2 linked regions of the Astyanax mexicanus genome follow. The protein of the gene in region 2 purifies or fractionates together with the protein of the main gene of each other region. This does not show direct contact. Links are inferred from orthologs where the notes say so. Each region holds a gene or a part of one and is shown on either strand. Other genes may lie near its edges. The genes, in order: CLK4-associating serine/arginine rich protein and cfap20.

What was found.
Region 1: the proteins of cfap20 (region 2) and CLK4-associating serine/arginine rich protein purify together in Homo sapiens (affinity purification with mass spectrometry; 3 studies listed by BioGRID and IntAct, counting the BioPlex papers as one, with this or other methods). This does not show direct contact. The link is inferred for Astyanax mexicanus from reciprocal best matches to the Homo sapiens genes CFAP20 and CLASRP.

The regions. Positions count from the first base shown.
Region 1 is NC_064416.1:2,807,280-2,814,816, reverse strand, and holds the start of CLK4-associating serine/arginine rich protein, read right to left. Parts: upstream 3,095-7,537; 5' UTR 2,946-3,094; intron 1,065-2,945; 5' UTR 1,024-1,064; coding exon 925-1,023; intron 1-924. UniProt on the Homo sapiens protein: Probably functions as an alternative splicing regulator. May regulate the mRNA splicing of genes such as CLK1. May act by regulating members of the CLK kinase family.
Region 2 is NC_064410.1:3,711,244-3,718,333, forward strand, and holds the start of cfap20 (cilia- and flagella-associated protein 20), read right to left. Parts: upstream 3,169-7,090; 5' UTR 2,940-3,168; intron 2,766-2,939; 5' UTR 2,650-2,765; coding exon 2,566-2,649; intron 2,067-2,565; coding exon 1,987-2,066; intron 1,378-1,986; coding exon 1,266-1,377; intron 1,165-1,265; coding exon 976-1,164; intron 254-975; coding exon 143-253; intron 1-142. Other genes in the region: oxsm (3-oxoacyl-[acyl-carrier-protein] synthase, mitochondrial), read right to left, coding at 4,000-4,402, 4,984-5,981. UniProt on the Homo sapiens protein: Cilium- and flagellum-specific protein that plays a role in axonemal structure organization and motility. Microtubule inner protein (MIP) part of the dynein-decorated doublet microtubules (DMTs) in cilia axoneme, which is required for motile cilia beating.

The sequences.
Region 1 (7,537 bases), on a different chromosome or scaffold from region 2:
ACTACGGTTAGAGATACTCATTCTTATTTTACACGAAGGACCACAATAAATGTTATTCCATGGAGATTTAAGACCCAATTTGTAAAGAATACATTACGTTGTTTTGCAGCTTTGCTTTGGAGCGGACTACCTATGGAAATTAAATGTAGCCCATCGGAACAGGTTTTTAAACAGGTTTTTAAACAGGTTTTAATGAGATGGTTATATTAAAACTGTTTATAGACCCTAGACATTGAGAGTACTAAATACATAAGGAATATCATAAGAGAAGCCACCTCGCTGTCTGTCATCTTTGAGTATGTTTTATGTAGGTGTTTTGTGTTTGTGGGCAGTAAAGATGTTTAATTATGGGTGTTTTTTGTAGAGGACCACAATGGAAACAAGCCTTAGTGCTTTACTGTGTTTTAATCCTCAATGATTTGAAGTGCGTAATGTCTTGTCTGTGTATGTACTTTCTGAATCATTAAATAAATTCAATCACTTAATCAATCAATCATCACACTGCCAAGCTAAAGTCGCCACCAAAAGAAAAAGCCTTTAGCTTTGATTAGTGCATGCATTCACTGTAGCATTGTTTCAATAAGCTTCTGCAATGTTGCAATATCACAAGATTTATTTCAATCAGAGTTGCACTCATTTTTTTTTACCAAGATCTTGCATTGATGATGCAAATTACTGTTATGCCATTATATTTTAGATCTACATAAACTGTCTTAAAATGACAGCTCCGTCTCACCGCTATCAGAGGCACAATGCTCAGCCAAATCAGCTCTCCCTCCTGCCCTTCCCCTAAACCCATACATCACCCAGTGCCCCTCCCACACTACTCCTCACTATTTCTTTAGCATACTCTTTAAGGTATATTAATTACACATGGATTAGAAATGGAATTTATTCATTAATATTACAGTGAGTTCTACTCACGATTTTCTCATAGTACTCCCGCCGTCGTTCCCCACGGCGTTTGTAGTCCACCATCATCCCGCGCAACTTGCGCTCATGTTTGCGGGCCTCCTGCCACATGACAGCTCCGCTGGGGGTGGGGGCGCGTCGTGGCACGGCTGCTGGTTTGGTACAGAAAGAGATTCAATCAAACACACATCTGTGTGAGCTGATTCTAATAGAAAAGTGGCAATGACACACTTGCTGAAATTTATTTTTCTAGATGTAAAAAACAAACAATACAAAACAATACAAGAGTTCCAAACACAAAATCCAATGCTGGGGGCATGGTCAAACATTTAACATTTTTATTACAGTTTATGTATATACATATACATATATATATGTCTTTTGTCCCTCAGGCCATAAGACTTTTCAAACTAAAGACACACCCTCAGCTATAACACTATGTTTATAGTTCTACCCTATTCTGCACTAGTAGTTCATTCACTAGTTCATCCATCTACTGTTTACGTATCTTTTGCACTGCTGAATTTAAATCATTATAACTGTTCATTTGCACTTTCTGTATGGCTGACATCAGTTATACTCACTTTATGCACATCAACTGGCTGCACTACCTCCATTCTACATTACACTCACACTAAAGACTGTGCTTTTACATTGTACATTCTACTTTTTTATTTGATTGTATTTATATGTATCTTTATATTTTATATATTTTATTTTGTAACTTTGTGTATTCAATTTGTAACTTTGTGTCTGCTGCTGGATGTCTAGAATTTCCCCTCGGGGATCAATAAAGTATCTATCTATCTATCTATCTATCTATCTATCTATCTATCTATCTATATATATATCTATATATATATATATATATATATATATATATATATGACCAAGACAGCAAGTCTTTGTGAAGTATCAAGAGCCACTATATCAAGGGTAATGTCATATAATACCATACACCAGCATATCGTATTGGATGAGGATTTTTTTTTCTTTTAAAACATTGGCATTGGCTAATATTGTCAATATTGTCAATTATTGTCAATTATTGTCAAAAAGTGACACTGGCCGCACAACTACAATTGGCCGAAACTTAGTTAGAAGTTAGAAAGTTATATCAAGGTGCCTAGTCTCTCTGCAAGTTATAAATGTATAACGTATAAAACATATTCTAGTTAGTTTAACACTTTTTGTTTACAAAATAATTTAGCATGTGTCCCTGTATAGCTTTAATATAGTATTCAATATTAAATTTGCGATGCTTAAAAATTATAATAAGAAATAAAGCACATTGAATGAGAAGAGGTGTGTCCACAATTTTGACTGGTACTCTAGCAATATATTTATGTAATTATAAATATATGTATATTTTCGATGCCGTATCATCATAATCATCATTATAATGACTCCAAACCTAGATAGTTCACATTGACTAGTTAGCTAATATCTTCCACAGATCTAGTTGAACTAATCCAGTTAAACATTAACTCCAGCTTTACCACTGGATTGCAAAGATAAACTGTTACTGTAAGTATAACCAACCAGCCTATATACAAATTAATAGCAAATAAATAGAATTTAATACTTACATTTGAGTCATATTAAATGATAATTAATATTAAATAAACTTAACGTTAGTTATCTAGCTAAATGCATGGTTTACTATGCATGAGCTAAAGCTGCAGGGGAATTAGCTAGCTAAACTTACAGAGATTACCAACAGTTCTCTAGCTAAGCTAAGCAAGCTAAATATTAAATACTATCATATTTATACTAATACAATTAAATATTTATTAAATATAAATATTAAGAAACAGACAGTTAACTAGTTAAGCTAGTTAGCTAACCTATGTTAACTAACTGAGTTAGTTAGCCTAGTTAGCATTAGCGCCCGTTAGCGCTCCAGTAGCTAATGCTAACGAGCTATGCTAAGCTACCTAGCTCTGCACCTAACCCGCTAAAACGCAGAGTTTCCCCCCAGCCGCAGCGCTCACACCCCGTAGGACTGATATATATAAACTGTTAATATTTACCTGCTTTTTAGTTCCCAACAGATGGAAGCGTGTTTTATTAATATCGCTGCTTTATTCCGCCGGAGCGCGCAGGCAGAGGAGCACAGGTCGCCGAGTTAAGCTAAACTATGCTAAGCTAAGCTAAGCTAACTACACACCCCCCTGTCCACAGCGCGGAGTGATACATCCAGAACTAACCAGCGACCCCTGCAGGACCGGAGCTCACAATTTTCTGAATATTTTTTTCTGAATCAGTTTCTCTGATTTTGCTATTTATAGGTTTATGTCTGAGTAAAATGAACATTGTTGTTTTATTCTATAAACTACAGACAACATTTCTCCCAAATTCCAAATAAAAATATTTTAGTTATTTAGAGCATTTATTTGTAGAAAATGAGAAATGTCTGAAATAACAACAACAAAAAAAAAAAAGATGCAGAGCTTTCAGACCTCAAATAATACAAAGAAAAAAAAAAGTTCATATTCATATTCAAGTTTTAAGAGTTCAGAAATAATCAATATTTGGCGGAATAATCCTGGTTTGTTTTTAATCACAGTTTTTTCATACATCTCAGCATCATGTTCTCCTCCACCAGTCTTACACACTGCTTTTGGATAACTTTATGCTGCTTTACTCCTGGTGCAAAAAATCAAGCAGTTCAGTTTGGTGATTTGATGGCTTGTGATCATCCATCTTCCTCTTGATAATTGATAAATCGTCTCTTATTTTTGTCCAGAGCTTTGTTCTTTTGTTTTGAGCTTAATATGTTAATATGTTCCAAATATTACTTACGGCAACTTAAGTATATTTCAATTGTAAATAAGCTTTATTTAAACACAACGTAAAAGCATTAAATTGTGCTTTTGAGTGTGTTTTTTTTTTCTCGTATAACTTCTGCGAACTTAAGCACATTTAAGTGTGTTTTTTAAAGATCATGTTTAATACACTTAAAGTACAATATATTGTAAATGTACTACTTTGCATATTGATGCACATATGGTGTACACCTTAATGCTACTGAAAAAAAGAACTTAAACTACACTAAAGTGCACTTTAAGCAGTAGCCTATTTAATGCTATTATGCAGTATATATTTTCTATCAACACAACATATGTTTTAAAGCATATTGCTTTTACAGAAATATAGTGTAAGTATATTAACACAGAAAATGCACTTAGTATTCTTTACCTAATGTTTTGTGAACATACTTTTAATGCTTTTTTCACAGGACTTGGCACACTGCCCACACTGCCAAAAGTACCAATTGGTCTTATAATAATATAATATTCTAATTTTCTGAGACAATGATTTTTGGGTTTTCATTGGCTGTAAAACATAATATTTAATCAACAGTAAAATAAATAAACGCCTAAAATAGATCACTCTGTGTTTAATACATCTATATAATATATGAGTTTTACATTTCGAACTGGATTACTGAAATAAAGTAACTTTTCAATTATATTCTCAGTTTTTGAGATGCACTAGTATATTGTATTTTTGATTGTGGTGTTGGTCTTTAAGTTGATTTTTTTTTTTTTTTGCTATTTGGGCTAATTGGCACCTGATTAGTGTAAAAAACTTTTCTTTATCATGTATTATCTTTTTACATTATGTAGTTTCTGAGAAAAATTATGTCCACATATGTGGACTGTAGTTTTAAATTTCGCCAGAACACAATGAAGTCGCAATTAGTAATGATGTGCAAAACACTTATTTTGTGTCTGAACACTAGGGGTGTCACGATTCCGATATTTCATCAAAATCGATCGGAATTATGTCATGGTCTCGAGCCTCGAAGTCAAAAAGAGGATCGACGATCCCTCCCTCTAAGCTACGCAAATCGTGCAGCACACTGTAGCCGACGCCGTGGATTTTGTGACTGCTTAAGAGAATGTGGACGTTCTCATCTTCTTAAAGAAAAACTTTCAAATATAAAAATAACAGTTGTTTTGTCTAGCCTCAAATATGTTAATAGTTTTGGTACCTTAAGGAGCATCTTTCTCTCAGATAAAGTTAATAATATATCTTTAATAAAGAAAAAACTTCATTCTCAGGGATTGAGTCTTATTTTTCATGTTTAACTGTTATAGTAGGATAGAGTTCAGTTCGTTAAGGCTCTAATTATTCTATTATTTTATACATGACTGTTCCTGTATTTTTTTATTATTTATTTTATGTTGCACATTGCTGTTTTAATAGTGCACACTGCTGCTACCAAAAAAGCCACTAGATGGCATTACATATATATCTTAATTAAATTATTTAAATTTGACCATTAGTGCCTAATGTGGTGTATTACAGATCACTTGTATCACTTTGCATCACTTATATCAAGCCCACTTTTTGAAATAAGATAGATAGATAGATAGATAGATAGATAGATAGATAGATAGATAGATAGATAGATAGATAGATAGATAGATAGATAGATTTGAGCAATATGGCTCATTTGAATGCTAATTTAACACAAAGACATACAACAATCACCATCACAATCACTAGGTGGCAGTATAATGGCCTCATAAGTGGACACCAGGCCTTTGTAGAGCAACATTAAATGTTGTGGTCTAAACAACCCAAAATGTGATGTTCACACATGTGGACGCCAGGTTCTAGGAGTTTATAAGGGTAATGTGGTACCTGGAATCCAAATAATCAGAATGATCAGAATCAAATGACTCGATCGGTCCTTTCAGTGCAGCACATTCTGTTCTCCTGACCTGTCAGTCTAATTTAATCTGCTGTATTATTTTAGTGCTGATCTGAAGGTATGTTCTCTGGAGGCCTGGCACTGGTTCAGTTCAGTACAGGGCTGAGCTCGGTACACAGATCTGCCCCGGGGCTGTTTTTCAGTTAGGTAAGGTTGTTGGGTGGGGCAGAAGTCATGTCATGTGACGCCCTGCTGGACCGTTCCTCTGCGCCAGTGTGGTCACTCAGGGGGGACTTCCTAGACCACAGTCGCCTCATTTTCAGCCCTTTTATAACCGATGCTCTGGGAGTTAAAGGCCCCGCCGGGCCTGCAGCACTGTGGCCAGGCTTAAACACCCAAACCACAAACATCAAACAGAACCATCAGAACAATGCATCAGAACAAAGCCCTTTTAACATACAAAAAACACAATTGTCTAATTTATTTTTACTATTCATCTTACAGCTCTGGAAAAAATAAGAAAGCACTTAAAAATGATGAGTTTCTTTGATTTTAACAAATTAAAAACCTCTGGAATAGAATCAAGAGGAAGATGGATGATCACAAACCATCAAACCACCAAACTGAACTGCTTGAATTTTTGCACCAGGAGTAAAGCAGCATAAAGTTATCTAAAAGCAGTGTGTAAGACTGGTGGAGGAGAACATGATGCCAAGATGCTTTAGGTTATTCCACCAAATATTGATTTCTGAACTCTTAAAACTTTATGAATATGAACTTGTTTTCTTTGCATTATTTGAGATCTGAAAGCTCTGCATCTTTTTTGTTATTTCAGACATTTATCATTTTCTGTAAATAAATGCTCTAAATGAGAATATTTTTATTTGGAATTTGGGAGAAATGTTGTCTGTAGTTTATAGAATAAAACAACAATGTTCATTTTACTCAAACATAAACCTATAAATAACAAAATCAGAGAAACTGATGTATTTTAAAGACTACAAAAAAAAAACTACATGTAATTAATAATTTCCAGCTTAAAATCACTTTTTATTTTTATTCACTTTTTAATCTTTATCTTTATCATGATTTTAGCAACAACTGGTATTTAAATAAAAACGTGGTTGAGTTGGTTGGTCAGTGACTGTTCTTCTGTTTAAAATATACATTTTTGATATAAAAAAAAAAGAAAATTATCTTAATTACTGTAATATTTTACTGCACCAGTTTGGATAGATTAAACTTTACTTCTTTTATTTAAGCTTTAATTATGGAGACAATATAAGAAATATTAAGTTACTGTAAATTAATATTATTGATAGTCTTCAGTCCCTTTGAAAGTACAGCAAAGTATTATAAAGCTTTTGATGTCCCTTTTTTGATGATAATTTCAAAATTCAGTGGTCCCAACACTTTCAGCTAGGACTGCACTTATTTAACCATTTAAAGTAATTATTTAACTTTATTTATTTAAAGCAGTACTGCGGACATGGCAAACCCGAACAAACACCCATATAAAAAAATATATGTATTATAAAATGTACAATAGAAAATATGTATATTTAAGTATTTAAGGTGAAGATTAAAGTTATTTCTTCATATCTGTAATGAAGTGGTTATTCAGAGTAAATCTTGATTTTTATTGAGTATTAAATTTAAACTCAAAGCACAATTTATACTCATATTGGCCCAAATAATACACAATAAAAATGTAGAAAACATAAAAATCAAACCTCTTTATTGACATTTGCACATTAATAGAGAAATATCTCTAAGCACAATTTAAGCACAATAAAAATATTAAAGCAATCGATGCTGATTGTTGTTCTCTAAGACACCTGTTTAAACTGTTTATGTACACAATTATACAATTCTGATAAATTCCCAAAAATCAGCCAGTAAACAGATTAAACATTCAGTCCTCTTGATCCATTTACCTGCTGTGAGAGAGTATACAAT
Region 2 (7,090 bases):
CCTTCTCTGAAGGGTTAGAAGGGCCTCACTGCACACCACTGATCACTATTGTATTCTTTGCCATATTACCCAGTCCTATATGCACACATACAGGCCTACAGTTGGTACACAAATAAAAGTACCGGTGTTGGTGTGAACTTACCTTTGCTTTGTTTTGAACTGGCAAATAAAGCTTAAACTCTGCCGGGAGCTCATCTTCCGAGTACAGTCTGTCAGAAAAGTACACTCTTCTTATGCGACAGTTGGCATGAATCTGCAAGATAATGAAGCTATTCATTAATTGAAATTAATAATATGTAGAATACTAATTCAGAAACTTCTGAGATTGCATTAAAAGTGAAAAGAAGTAAAAAGCAAACATAATAAATATGTTATTATTTATTTTAACGGCGCAGCTACCTGGACGTGTCCAACTAACCTTCTCGTTTACGCTGTGAAACTGCACCACCAGCTCATTTACAAGAACAGCAATGGTAGCATAACAAGAGGGTGTGTAAGCACATTGCCAAGATAATAATGAACGTCTGATGGTTGACTGCTGTCAGGGTTCATTTCAGTCAGTGGCGCACCTGTGTTTTTCAATGCTAAGATAGCAATACTCTAAAAATGTACCTGAACATACCCCATTTCCAGGCCACCACAACTAATACTTATTTTACTCTAGAAAAGCAGAATGTTAAGGAGGTGCAGTTATATTTAGAGGGACCTACTTTATGTGTTTATTCTTTTATGGTTGATTATTATGGCTTACAGCCAATTAAAACCCAAAAATCAGTGTCTCAGAAAATGTAAATATTATATAAGACCAATTGGTACTTTTGGCAGTGTGCCAGGTCCTGCTGGAAAATGAAATCCACATCTCCATAAAATACTGTATATAACACAGTAGATCAACACCAGCAGATGACATGTCTCTCTTATTATATTATATTAGTACAGGCAAAACAGCATGTCTTTTTTGCCTCCACTGCCCACCTGTACACGGAGCGTCTCAATGTAGTTGGTGCCGTACGCTCTTCTTGTGAAGTCCGACAGGTTGAACTGGATCTGGTTCCAGCCGTCATCCAGTCGCATGGGCATGGTGCAGATGAACGGCTTCACCCGGGTGGTGCTCTGGTAGTTACTCGCCCTGAATCTCCGCCGTACGTTCTTATCATCCAGCACCTGGGACACGGTGAGATATTAAAAGGATCTGTGATTAATTAAGGCACATCACAGCTCTTCAATAAAAGCATAAAACACCCGCACATATGCAGTAGCCTTACCTGAACTTCAAATGTGAAGTACTTCTTGAGGTTCTTGATGATCATAACCAGGAAGGGCAATTTGATGCCAAGGGTTTTCTTCGGATCTGCCGGGCATGTGATGTATGTTGTGCTGTGAATATGAACCAGAGTGTGAATAGAAGATATCCATAGCGATAAGGACTTGTAACCACAATAGTGAGAGGTGATGCAATTATATATATATATCCATTCTTATCTGGTGAGTTGTCTGATCACAATTTGACAGTGAGACAAGAGAGAGAAAAGTTTACACCTGGTATTTCCATGTGTACTGTTAATAACTTTAAACTGTATAAACAATAAGGATTGAAGGTTCTACTGTACACATTTAGTTGATCAGGTGGTCCTTTGGGGGTTCCACAAAAATATTCCAAGACACTTTTACAATGCAGATCAATATATTGCATTTTTCTGACACAATTTTTGACAAGTCAGAAGAGAGAAAAAGCCCTACAAGTGCCACTATAAAATAACACTATTCACAATCAAACATAAGAGTTGACAAAACCCATTATATAGACAGTGAATGCTTCCTAAAAACATAGTTTATCACTTTTAACAATAACATACTGTCATTCTGCCCACCCAGCTGACAGTCTGTTAATAATTGATGTAGAATTATATACAAACCTACTAAACTCGATCCTATTAATCCTATTAAACTATCCACAAAAAAAGAAATGTGTAAAATGATGATTACCTGACGTTGGTCCCCTCCACCTCCAGCACCAGTGACTGGATATCATTGTCTGTAATCCGCTTTATATGTCCATTTCTCACCTGAAAAGAGGAATCATGAGTTATACCCAGTGAACCCAGCCAGTTTCACTAAATCCATTTCTGTAAAATTAGTCCCACCTGTAGACTAGCTGATACCTGTAGGCTATATGGAGTCCATACAGGTAGAAAGGTAGAAATATTTAATAATTAAAGACGAAGCTTAAACATTCCCACGTCTAATAATGGTTCCTTTGGTTGAATTAATGACTACTCTAATTTAATAAATCATTTCCTAACTGTTTTCAGTTGTTCCAATTAAAAATAACTGCTCCCTTATTTTAACAATCCATCCATATTCAATTTAATAAATAGTTAACTAAATGTAATAATTAGTTTAACCTACTTTCCTCAATAGCTGAATTTCTATTTTCATTTATGAAGCCATTCCCTCTACTAGTGTGTTATGCCAGGGTAGCACAATTTGACAGAACACCGGCTGTTCCAGGTGAACTGATGTATTTTATGTAACCTAGCTAGTTATCGTTAGATGTCGGTTTACCTTTTTATCCCATATCTGAAGCGGTTTGCTCCCGATGCTGTAGAGGATGGACAGGAAGCCGCTCTGGAATGTGTTCTTGAACATGATTTTATAAAATCATATAAATCTCCCTCCCACACACGAACACTCTCTGCGCTCCACTGAAAACCGGTCCGTGTAGCAACAGATTCACCGCAGCAGAGGCGAGCACTGGTTCCTTACTGTAAATAAATATATAAAATTATTATTATAGTGTACGGGTTATAAACTCTTTTATAATGCGTTTAAAATTCACAGTCCCAGATAGCTAAGCTAACTAGCTAACTTCTTGATTAGCAAACTAAACAGATAACTTAGCTAAGCTAACTCAGTTTTCGAAACCCGTTAGTTATTACCTCCGCTCCGGTTGCTGTGAATTAAACGGTCGCTCTGTTAAAAAAGGCGGAATGTAAAATCTTCAGTCAGACGCAGTTTAACTCTGTGTCTCTGTGTGTTAATAATTCTGAAATTAATTCTGTCATATAATCAGTGCTGTAAACCCGGCAGATCTCCACAGCTGCTGCTGCTGCTGCTGCTCGGCTCTCGCTCGGCCCGTTGCTGTGATACAGGACGCGGTTCACTCCGGACCCTCAGTGTTGATGCGCCGGTTGTCCTGGTAGCACCACGCGCCGCGTCACTGCCCGGGGGGCGGGCTCTAATAATACTACTACTAATAATAATAATACTAATACTAATACTACTTCTACTACTAATAATAATATTAAAACTACTACTACTGCTAGTAATACTACTACTACTACTAATAATAATAATAATAATAATAATACTAACATTACTACTACTAATACAAATTATACTAATTATACTACTACTGCTGCTAATAATAATAATACTGCTAATAATAATAATACTGCTAATACTACTACTACTACTACTACTACTACTACTACTAATAATAATAATAATAATAATAATAATAATAATACTGCTAATACTACTACTACTACTACTACTACTACTACTACTAATAATAATAATAATAATAATAATAATAATAATAATAATAATACTAATACTTCAACTACTTACGGTAACACATTTTATAGTAAGTGAAATGCATCCTGAAATATATTTTATTGCTAATTTATTAAATTTATTAAAAAAAATGCATTGAAGTAATGCATTACCGTAATAATTTTGAGCCTGTGAGATTTAGATGCAGATGGCTTGACTGCAAACTTGGCTAACCCGTTGCTTATTTTTTAGGTTCATTTGTTTAACAGAGTAGATTTTATCCCCGTCTGGAAAATCAGTCTTTAAAGAATTAGTCAGAGAAATATCACATTGATTTATTTAATCAACGGACAAATTAACAAGCTGACAAAATACTTAACAGTGTTCAGTGAATTCCTTATTTCTGATCTGCTTTAGTGTACGACAACCATCAACATCATCTCACACACTGGTCAGACACAGAGAGGCATTGGTGCCTCCAAACCCGAAGGAGTTAGTGAGAGCTATTCTCGGGCCGTCAGTGCTCCAGGGCTGAGAAACACAGGGCACATAGTTCAGGTCGAACTCCGGTTCTGTTCGGTCCAGATTGAGAGTCGGAGGCAGGATACCATGGTAACATGCCAGTGCTGTGAACGCTGCCTCCAGAGCACCAGCGGCCCCAAGAAGATGCCCTGTGGCCCCTTTAGTGGACGAAACGGCCAGTAACGGGGATTGTTTCTGGAAGAGTTTCTTTATAGAAGCATTCTCTGCAGCGTCCCCTAGTGGTGTTGAGGTGGCGTGAGCGTTCACGTAAGTCACGTCTGAAGGCGATACGCCAGCGTTGCGTAGAGCAGCAGACATGCACCTGTTGAGTGAAGCAAATAAAGCAAAAATAAAGTTATTGCTGTGCTGACCTTGTATTTAAATATGGAGCTTAGGCTTGTTTATAAATCATTCTATAAACTACGAACAACATTTCTCACAAATTCCAAATCAAAAAATTGTCATTTAGAGCATTTACTTGCAGAATTTATTTTGTGAAATAGCTGAAATAACAAAAAAGACACAGATATTACAAATAATGCAAAGAAAACAAGTTCATATTCATAAAGTTAAAAAAAAATCAGAAATCAAGGTTTGGTGGAATAACCCTGGTTTTTGAACACATGGCATGTTCTCCTCCACCAGTCTTACACACTGCTTTTGGATAACTTTATGCCTTTACTCCTGGTGCAAAAAATTCAATTCAAGCAGTTCATTTTGGTTTGATGGCTTGTGATCATCCATCTTCCTCTTGATTATATTCCAGAGGTTTTCAATTTGGTAAAATCAAAGAAACTCATCATTTTTAAGTGATCTCTTATTTTTTTCCAGAGCTTTATCATCATATCAACACAAAATGGTAATTATGTTAGGCTTATCTAGTAGGCGGTTGTGCAAAGTTACCTGAAAGCTCCATCTCCATCTTCAGTGGGCGCAGTGATGTGGCTGGCATCTCCTGAGAGTCCATAACCCAGCACCTCAGCGTACACTCGTGCTCCTCTCTCCATAGCATGTCTGTACTCCTCCAGAATCAGCACCGCTGCTCCCTCACCCATCACGAAACCCTCTCTCTCTGGGTGGAAGGGTCGCGAGGCCAGCTTGGGCTGCTGGTTCCAGTTGGTGCTGAGGGCCCGTGCTCGTGCGAAGCCCGCTATGGACAGGGGACTTACACAAGCCTCCGTGCCGCCAGCAACCATCACCACAGCATCACCGTGTGCGATGAAACGTGCAGCATCACCAACAGCGTGAGCCCCAGTGGTGCAGGCCGTGGACACGGCGTGATTGGGACCCTTGAGTTTGTGCTTGATGCTGATGTGTCCAGCCGCCATGTTGACCAAAATACGTGGGACGAAGAAAGGGCTGACCTTGCTGTACCCACGCGTCTCAAAGGCTGCAGCGGTGCGGGCGATCTCCTCCAGGGACACCATGCCCATGCCTACTGCCACTCCTGTGTTTAGCTGCTCCTCTGGGCTTCTGGGATACCACCCACAGTCCTCCAGAGCCAGGTGAGCTGCCCCGACAGCCATGACTGTGGCAGATGACATGCAGCTCATCTCCCCTCTTCCAACAAACCTTTCCTCCTTAAACTCGCCCTCTCCATCTCCTCTAGGGACTCGTGCCGCCACTTTACACGGCACAGTTCTGTATTCCTCAGAGTCCAGTGCAACAATCCCACTCTCTCCATCGACCAGACGCTGCCAGGGCAGAGCCGTTCCTGTTCCAAGCGGGGACACAAGTCCAATTCCAGTGATGACCACTCTCCTGGGAGACTGTGCAGTACTAGAATGGCTAAGGTGGCTGTATTTCCTCCGAGATGTTTCTAAAACACTCGTACAGGTCCTTATGCAAAGGGCTCTGGACAAATGCTTCACTGAGAGCTTCTGCCAACATGTCACTGACATGTCTCACCAACACAGTCCTGGATAACCTGAATCAAAAGAGTACAAGTGTTTATTATGAGGTATTAAACATGAGTAGGGCTGCAACAATTAGTGGACATAATTAATAAAGTCAAATATAAAAAAATAAGGTAGAGGTACTCATTTCATTCACACTCACATTAAGTAAATTTCCTTACAGCAGACTTCATTAAAAGAAAAAAACAGCTAAAGAATATGAATAATAGACCTTTCAAAAGAGATACACCAATTACTTTTTTTAAAACTAAATATTTTAAATAGTTCCATAAACACTATAAATGGACTTAAAGAGAAGGCGATACTTTATTTTTAAGTAAAGTACTTGAAGAGATATTTCGTTATTAATATATTTCGTAATATTATTTAGTTTATATGTTTTGTAGGAGATGTGACAACATTTTACATCAAACATTTATCAATTGTAATTATTGTAATTAATTGTAATTAAAATAAAATATATATAATTTAATTTTGAATTAATGACCCTGGCCCTAACTAATAAAGCGGGTACTGACAAAATATGGATGAATAAACTATTTTATAGTGGTGCTGCTGGATTAACTACAGCACAGACAGTCTCTCACCTAAAAACTCAGTGCGCATGCTCCCCGTTGACCTACAGAATAGCTATAACATAAGCACCACATGCACCACACACAACTACTTATATTACCCTGTATTATCTGTAAAACGCACTGTCACAGTTTATATAACTGAGGTAAAACTACTTACTGTAACTGTGTTTTACACCTCCTATAAAAACACACGCAGCAGCAACCGTTCTGCAACAGGAAACACTGTCGGTTTACACACAGATCACCTGTCACAATAAAAGTCCCCAAACTCGTTCTTTTTCTGAGAGCAGTTTTTTTATAGATATTTCTCAGCGTTTTAATGATAAATAAAAATAAAATAAAACAATGATATATGATTGGCATATCAAATATTCATACTCTTTGAAAAATAATTTATATCACCGTACTTATAATAATAATAAAAAAAACAATAGAAACCTGGACATTCAAAAAATAAATAAATAACATATTTGATTTAAAAAATAAAATACATATTTTAAAATATTTTTTTACAAA